Linked DNA regions of Arabidopsis thaliana. The protein of the gene in region 2 interacts with the protein of the main gene of each other region in a pairwise test. Each region holds a gene or a part of one and is shown on either strand. Other genes may lie near its edges. The genes, in order: MKK4 and RACK1C_AT.

Region 1 (4,743 bases), on a different chromosome or scaffold from region 2:
TTCTTTGTTTCTGACAAGTCAATGAGATTGGTGTCTTCTCTCTGTTGCACATTTAATATTAACTTTTGAAAAACTACAAAACGAAACAAAACAAAGAAAAGCAGACATTTACACGAAATTATGCAGACATATACACGAAATTCAATCTACCTGAAAATGAGAATAAGTTTTGAGTAAATTTCGTGGAGACTCCTGGAAATAAGTTTGTTTGTTTTCCTATTTTTATGTAACTTCGCTTAAATTTCTAATTGCCTAATCAAGGTATTAAAATAGCAAAGCTTGGTTTGGCTCAGTCTTCGCGTAAACTCCAAGAAACAATCATAAAAACAAATAAAAAAGACAAGAAACCAAAAAAAAAAAAAAAGTTGAGAGATTTCAGTAGATGAAAGTTGGATAGAAGATTCGTGTAGTTAGCTACTTAATGGGCCGTTAAAATATTTAATAAGGCCCATTGGGTCTAAACTGTGTTAGGATTACTAGGGCACAGAATCGGTCTCTGTCCCATTTCGCGAACTTTCTCCTTAGAATCGGAACGGACGAAGAAGGAAGACAAGGAAGAAGATCGGAGATGGCATCGAATGCGGCGGTTCCGTTCTGGAGAGCGGCGGGGATGACATATATATCGTATTCAAACATCTGTGCGAATATCGTGAGGAACTGTCTCAAGGAGCCACACAAAGCTGAAGCTCTTACTCGCGAGAAGGTTCACTTCTCTCTCTCCAAATGGGCTGATGGAAAGCCCCAGAAACCTGGTAAGCCTTTTCGATCCTTTAATCGTCGATGTTGGATCTTAGATCTGGATTCTTCACGTTCTTGTGTTCTCGATTCCTGATTTGTTTTTGAGTAATTTGTTGGAATAATCTGATTTCCTAAAAGTTATCGGAATTAAGTGGAAAGTGAATCATCTGCTTCTGGATTTGATCTTCGATTTTGCATTTAACCTTTCCTCTGCTTCTGGATTTGATCAGTTCAATACTATCTTCATACAATGTTGTTATGTCCAAATTGTTGAATTTTTCATTTAGAGTTAGCTTCAGAGAAAACAACAAAACTAGTAGTATGTGTGAAACAAGAACATGAAGAAGATGGAAAGCTGATTGGGAACATTGCATTTAGATGTCTTTTCTCGTTTATGTTTGGATCTGAATTCTTCATGTTCTTGTTGTGTGTCATTGAAATTGTTGGAATACGTAGATATCAGAGTAGGTCATTTTGGGAAAGCTATTGAATTTAAGAGGAAGATGAATCATTTTAACAAGCTCCATCGATTTTGCGCTTAATCTGTCTCTCTTCTGCTTCTGGATTTGATTAATTTCATTCTATTTTGTTTTCTCATAAGTTGTTGTTATGTTCAAATTGTTGAATTTGGAATGATTTCATTTCTCAAATAGGGTTTACTGAGACAATGATTCCAGATTTAGTCTATCTGAAAATGGTTCAGCTTTCTTCTTGTTGATCCATTTGTCTAACATTCTCTCATGTTTTTGTTTTTCCTTGACAGTTTTGCGGTCAGACACACCTGAAGTTTGAAGTCAACTTTGAGCTTATGTTCTTAAGGGATTCAAAAGTAACTGAGTTACCAAGATTTGTTTTCTTTTTATTGTCAACAATGGAGCTTGAGTGAAAAACTCATTTCCGATCATAATAATGACACACTGAGTCTTGTGTATCTCTTTTCTTCTTTTGCTATTCTGTTTCACTTTTTGTATGCGAACAATGAAAAAAAGCCTTTAAAGACTCTTCTGGCTAAAGACAAGTTCTTTTGATTGTTACAGAACAGTGAGAATAGCATAAAACTAAGCACATACGTGGAGAATCAATACACTGTCAGAAGTTGAGAGAAGACCATACTTAATATTAAACATGAGAATATACAAACTGATTTTCTGAATCATGTATTTTGAATCGCAGTACGCATATTTGCAGGTTAGACCATCTCCAATGTCACTTTTACGCGTTTGTTTGATTTAAATTCGATTTCCTCTTCTTGGTTTATATCACAAAACCAACAAAACGACACCGCGTAAAGTCTGAAAAAAACTTAACAGAGCCAGAAGTGCCCAGTGAACCAACCACACAAAGTCACAAATGGTTTCCGTGCTTGAAAGTGATCCTCACGCGCTTTACACATCGCGTAGATACCTTTTTCTCGATTTTAACAATTTTGCTATTTATTTCCTTTTAATTAATTTTCTCAAAATAAAAATTAACGTTCCCTTTTCAGTGTCCTTTCAATTTCTTTCGACGAAACTTCATTTCTCAATTTCTTTTGATTTTGATCGCTTCGAAGAACGAATCAATTTAAGCCTGCCACAAACAAACCCTAGAATACGACAACGCACGACGACGAAGAAGTCGAAGAAGACTACTACTATAAACGACGAAGATCATTACTTCAATCTTCAATCGAGCTTTTAAATTTTCAGATCGTAGAAGAAAATCGAACTTTTGATTCCAAAAGCGATGAGACCGATTCAATCGCCTCCAGGAGTTTCCGTTCCGGTGAAAAGCCGTCCCCGTCGCCGTCCTGATCTTACCTTACCGCTTCCTCAACGCGATGTTTCTCTCGCTGTACCTCTTCCTCTCCCACCTACTTCCGGTGGTTCCGGTGGCTCTAGTGGATCTGCGCCGTCTTCTGGTGGTTCGGCGTCTTCAACGAACACTAACAGCTCCATAGAAGCGAAGAACTATTCGGATTTAGTGAGAGGTAACCGTATCGGAAGCGGAGCAGGTGGAACGGTATACAAAGTGATTCACCGTCCGAGTTCTCGTCTATATGCACTTAAGGTGATATACGGTAACCACGAGGAGACTGTGAGACGTCAGATCTGTAGAGAGATCGAGATTTTACGAGATGTGAATCATCCAAACGTTGTGAAATGTCACGAGATGTTTGATCAGAACGGTGAGATCCAGGTTTTGCTTGAGTTTATGGATAAAGGTTCTTTAGAAGGTGCTCATGTGTGGAAAGAGCAACAATTAGCTGATCTATCTCGTCAGATTCTTAGTGGTTTAGCTTATCTCCATAGCCGTCACATAGTTCATCGTGATATCAAACCATCGAATCTTTTGATAAACTCTGCTAAAAACGTTAAGATTGCTGATTTTGGAGTTAGTAGGATCTTGGCTCAGACTATGGATCCGTGTAATTCATCTGTTGGAACCATTGCTTATATGAGTCCTGAGAGGATTAACACTGATTTGAATCAGGGAAAGTATGATGGTTATGCTGGAGATATTTGGAGCTTAGGTGTTAGCATTTTGGAGTTTTACTTGGGGAGGTTTCCTTTCCCTGTGAGTAGACAAGGTGATTGGGCTAGTCTTATGTGTGCCATTTGTATGTCTCAGCCTCCAGAAGCTCCAGCGACTGCGTCGCCGGAGTTTCGGCATTTTATCTCGTGTTGCTTGCAGAGAGAACCGGGGAAAAGGAGGAGTGCTATGCAGCTATTGCAGCATCCTTTCATATTAAGAGCAAGTCCGAGCCAGAACAGGTCTCCTCAGAATCTACATCAACTCTTGCCTCCTCCTCGTCCTCTGTCCTCGTCTTCTTCTCCAACCACATAGCGTTTTCTCTCTTCTTCCCTTCATCAACTCATATTTTTTGTGTTACTACTGTTCTTGAGTCTGTTGTCCAATTTTTTGCTAATCATGGAGGGTCTCTGAATTTTACATTTATTAGGGAGTAAAAAACTCGAGAGAGGGTTTTTGGGATTATTGTTTTCTAGAAAGGTAAAAGAGAACAATGATAATATTCTTATGCTTATGATGGTGCATGTATCCCCAATGTAGCTTTGTTGAATTTTCATAAAAGTTTTTGCCTTGGTTTTTCTTTTGTCATTTATGCTCGTCAATTTTGCATCTTGAAGACGAAAAGGACCGTTTCGTTTCCATTCTCGGTGTTTAGTTTTGTCATTGATAAAATGTCTCCTTGTAAAGCTTATTACCATCATGAAAAAGCAAAATATACGGATCGTAGAATCGTTTCTCAAACCTAATCAGGTTGATGTCCCAGTTTAGAACATCCTTGGAAGAGTTTAAGACAATTCCTCAATCCGAGAGAGCAAAACGACTGTGTTTAGCAAAGTGGGTCTAATTGAAGAAAAGAGGAACTTGGGCCAGCTAAAGATAAAGCCCAATGTTGAAAAGACGTCGTCTAAGGCACAACAACGGTCAAACGGTCATCTCCAAAGTTGGAAAACGACAAGAAACAAAAACACAGAGCAGTGGTGATGAATTGAAAGCTTGTACGGAGAAAGTAGCGATTCTCGCAGCCATTGATACGATTTGATGACAGAGGATGGTGACATCTGTCCTATCTCTAGGGTTTTTCGAGTCACCCATACTCTTGTCTATAAATACTAAATCCTTTAGGTTCCTTTGGTTGCTTCCTCTGCTTGTGAGTTTTTCTTTGTAAGTGCAATCAGTGTTACTCTTTAGAGTTTTTTTCTAAGTTGTTGAGATTTTTGTAGCTTGCTTTGGTTTGTCACAATTTTTGCTTATGCATTTGCCTTTGTAGGAGCTTTTAGTTACGTTTTAGGGTTTTTTTTTTTTGTTACGGATTTTGCTTGCTTGTGCATTTCCTTTTTCAGTGTGATTAGTGAGTAGTTACGTTTTAGCGTTTGATCCTTCTTTATTTTTGTCATTCTTTGGTAAAGAAGCATCACACTGGCTCGATTTAACCACAAACTCCTTCCTCTGTTTTTTGTCATTGATAAAAATGTCATCTTTTTACTATTTCAGTGT
Region 2 (4,175 bases):
AACATAAGAACAGATACGTGGGTGATAAAGGCTATGTAGCGCTCCCGCGTCTCTGTGTCTTTATCCAAAAACACGACAACTTTCTTCTCCTCGTCAACAAAGAAATTCCCAGCGGCAACCTGAAACTGCAAACCAGTTAGTGGTTCCATACCCACCGCTAAGAACAACTTGCTCCACGACGCTGTTTCGGGCTCAATCTTAGTCGTAATCCATATCTCCATCTGTAATGTATCATCTCTCTCAAATAACACTGTAAGTTGCTCATCTCTAACACTAGATAGAGTCACAGTATCTTCATTAAAAGAGTGAAACGGTAGACTTAGAGGGGGTCCAAATATCTCTCTTGTAAAATCATAACAGAGTAAGAACTCAGGGAGATGCTTTTGTTGAGTATTTCCCTTGAGAGACACGCCACGTGCAGAAAACTGTATCTCCCAGTTCGCAGAGTTAATGTTAGGGATAGTAATATTCATCCGTGGTTTAGAGGAGTTGAGGACTTGAGGTAGTAGAGTTCATACTGTACGTATCCGTAACAAGGTTCACTAAATCCCTTGGAAGATTGGCCATCATCATCTCAAGGATCATAAATAAGTTAGGTTAATGCTTCAGAAGATACTCTCCTCTGCTTCCGGTGGTTACAAATTTGAAGACAAAGAAACCCACCCTAACTGAATTGGGCCAATCATGGGCTTTAGAAATCTAATAGGCTTGTAATGTGGCCGGTGAAAGAGATAAGAGTGATATATTATAGGGATGAATTGTGAAGATTGAACCTCAATAAGACCAATCGGAAGATCACGAAGGTAAGTGTAATCAAAATCGTGACCTTTTGATATATAGTGATATGATAATCAATGGATTGTTTTTTTCTCTTCTGGAAATTAAACAAAAATTGCCAAAATAGAGGTTTGCGAGAGACTAATACAATACTGACGCAGTCTGGAAAAATTAAAAGCAGCTAAACTTTTTTCCGGAGATTTCGTGACTTCTTCTTCATCTTGTTGTGTCTCTAGTAACGACCAATACCCCAGACCCTGACAACTCCATCAGTGTAACCACTGAACAATGTGCTTCCATCTGCACTCCAGTTCAAGCTTGTGCAGTAGATAACCTGCATTTTCATTACACATTCCCATTAGATACCATTATCAATCTCTTCCTATATGTTAACATCAAAGTCAAAACCTTTGGAGCAGAGCAACATTTAAAGAATAAAATTCCTAGTTTCAAAGCTAATGGGTAAGGGAAAAGATTTCCTACATGCAATTTCTAACCAAAATTTCACTTTTTTTTTGTCATAACCAAAGATAATTTCATCACTACTTTTGGTGCATTCACTAACCTATCAATAGAGAACCAATTACTATAGTGAAATCATAAGATAATGACGTACCTTCTTCTGGTTACCAGTTCCAACACCACCTTCATTCTTCTCTGCCTCAGACTTGAGATCAACCTTCAAGTCCTCAACAACAGACTTGCTCTCAAGATCCCAAATCCTAATGCTATTCTCAGTAGCAGCACACAACCAGTATCTGTTAGGACTGAAGCAAAGCGAGTGAATAATCGAACCCGCCTCAAGCGAGTAAAGCTTCTTTCCTTCAGCCAAATCCCACAACAAGATAACACCATCTTTCCCACCACTGGCGCATAGCGAACCATCAGGCGAGACAGCAACAGTGTTGAGGTAACCAGAGTGACCAACAAGAGAGTTCCTCAGCTTACAGTTCTGGAGATTCCAAACTTTCACAGTTTTATCCCAAGAAGCAGATACAATAGTTGGTACAAGAGTATTAGGACTAAACCTAACACAACTAACCCATTCCTTGTGACCATCACCTTCAGAGATGGTATACTTACACTCACCAAGTGTGTTCCAAAGCTTAATCGTACGATCACGAGAAGCAGACACGATCTGCCGGTTATCAGTAGAGAATGCAACAGAGAGCACATCTTTCGTATGACCAACGAATCGACGAGTTGTTTCTCCCGTGGCAAGATCCCAGAGACGGAGCTCACCGTCCCAGCTTCCGGAGAGTGCAAACTGACCGTCCGATGAGAGAACAACATCTTCCACGAAGTGAGAGTGACCTGTGAGCCTACGCTGAGCAACACCGTAAGACTTATCGTCCTTTGTGAGTTTCCAGAGGATGATGGATTTGTCACGCGACGCTGTGACGATGATGTCGGAATTGTCGATCGGCGTAGCGATGGCCGTGACAATGTCGGTGTGGGCGCGCATAATGCCCTTCAATACGAGTCCCTCGGCCATGGTTTGAGGTTTTCGGGTTTCTTCTTCTTACTCACGAAAATGGCGTAACAGAGCGAGAGATTACGAGGTCGATTGAAATGTTTGGTATTTATACTCTAGGTCTAAAAATGAATCAAATTAGGGTTTAGTGTGGTTTCTGCGAGGAGACTGGCTCATTTGGGCCGGAGTTTCCGAGTCAGGTATAAATGGGCCTCTTCTGAAATAAATTTTGTTGGAGCATTTTTGTTGTGATATAGTTGAGAAATGTTTGATCAGAGAGGGAACATAAGAGCAATTTGAACGAATTCGATTGAAATGTACAAGAGTTTACTAAAACACAAATAACACAATCGTAGTTTGTTCATAATTTAGCTTTGATTCTTATTAAGGTTTTAATCGTGAAGTGCACAGCACACAGTGGCTTTGTGATGACCTTGGTACACTTTCACTTCTTTGCCTGCTGGCATCGACCACAATCTAGCCGTCATGTCCGATGATGCTGTACAACATCATAGAAACCCGTTTAAAGATTGTTCTGATATGTTTTTCAGTGGTTTAAGTTAAGACAGAGATTAGTACCTGTTACAAGAAATTCTCCATCCACTGAGAAGACGCAGTCCCAAACCCATCTTTGATGTCCTGTTATATAAGATTTGATGATAGTGTAAGAGACGATAATGGAGAATGAATGCTGTTGACAGTAACATGGAGAACATACCTGTTAAAACTTTCTCTAGTTTAAAACCATCGACGTTCCATATTTTGACAGTTTTATCAGATGATGCAGTCGCTAGATATCTGCTAACAAATATGTAAGAGCTTCGAAAAGGAGAGGATGAAGAAAACGGTTAAAAGAGAAAGTATAAGAAACATGTTACTTGTTTGCAGGAGAGAGGAGACATTTAAGGATGTGGCCATTATGAGCTTGCAGCTTATGAAGGGGCTCAAACTCTGTCATTGTCTGTAAAAGATTTTGAATTTTTAAATGGCATGGACAATTAGAGTAATGCGACTACAACATGGTTAAACAAAAGAAAGGTTTGCATATCAGGAACACTACCTGTTTTCCACGCAACAAGCGCCATACATAACATGTTCCACGGTTGTTAGCAGCGACTACCATTGTCCCATCCCACATAACAGTTAAAGACCGTACAGCTGTATCAACTTCTGGTACCTATAGTTAACCTCAAGTGATTATCTACGGATTTTCAGAAATGAAATGAAGACGTGTCAAAGGCAATTACCAGTTCACAGCTACACGAATTTGCTCTGAGATCCCATACACGTATATTTCCATTTTGGTCTCCAGATATCAATTCAGTCTGTACAAAAAAAAAAAACAAAGTTCATAATAAAGACTAAGGAAATAGTTCATAATAACAGCTGAGACAACTACCAAAATCACAGCAGTTTCAACAGTAGCAATACAACAACTCTCTTAAACATAAAACGAAGCTGATTCCCACAGCACAACAATAACAGATGACTTCATGTACCTGATTTGGGTGTAAAACAACTGTATTAACCGCTGCAACACTTTCATACTCCTTTTGGCAACCCGGAGCCCTGCATTTTGGTTTACGAGTCAACAAGAATACAATTTAGAACGTTCTTAGTATTTTTCGTAACTTTATATTCAATATCTCCTTATCCTTTCCCAGAATCCACACTTGAATAAATCTATAAACTTTTAGCTAAAGATGAAGATGACATGATATACCTTAAGTCCCAGATCTTAACTGTGCCATCTTCTGATCCTGAATACATCCATTTTGCATCACATTGAAATCCTACTGCCATAACATTGTTGGTGTGTGAATCGTAAGTCATCACCTAATACACACGACGACTCCATCAAGATCACTCAAGCAGGTAGAAGGAAGCAAACACCACATTGAGAAAAAAAGAGAGGAGTTTTACA

The links.
Region 1: the proteins of RACK1C_AT (region 2) and MKK4 come close enough for resonance energy transfer, tested with the Arabidopsis thaliana proteins (one study listed by BioGRID).

What each region holds. Positions count from the first base shown.
Region 1 is NC_003070.9:19,152,112-19,156,854, forward strand, and holds MKK4 (mitogen-activated protein kinase kinase 4), read left to right. Parts: upstream 1-2,211; 5' UTR 2,212-2,463; coding exon 2,464-3,564; 3' UTR 3,565-4,227; downstream 4,228-4,743. Other genes in the region: AT1G51650 (ATP synthase epsilon chain), read left to right, coding at 569-752, 1,502-1,530.
Region 2 is NC_003074.8:6,210,100-6,214,274, forward strand, and holds RACK1C_AT (receptor for activated C kinase 1C), read right to left. Parts: upstream 2,453-4,175; 5' UTR 2,273-2,452; coding exon 1,394-2,272; intron 1,112-1,393; coding exon 1,010-1,111; 3' UTR 779-1,009; downstream 1-778. Other genes in the region: AT3G18120 (F-box associated ubiquitination effector family protein), read right to left, coding at 1-473; LST8-1 (Transducin/WD40 repeat-like superfamily protein), read right to left, coding at 2,644-2,750, 2,831-2,890, 2,970-3,049, 3,130-3,212, 3,312-3,428, 3,499-3,576, 3,751-3,820, 3,975-4,087 and 1 more. UniProt on the Arabidopsis thaliana protein: Minor component of the RACK1 regulatory proteins that play a role in multiple signal transduction pathways. Involved in multiple hormone responses and developmental processes.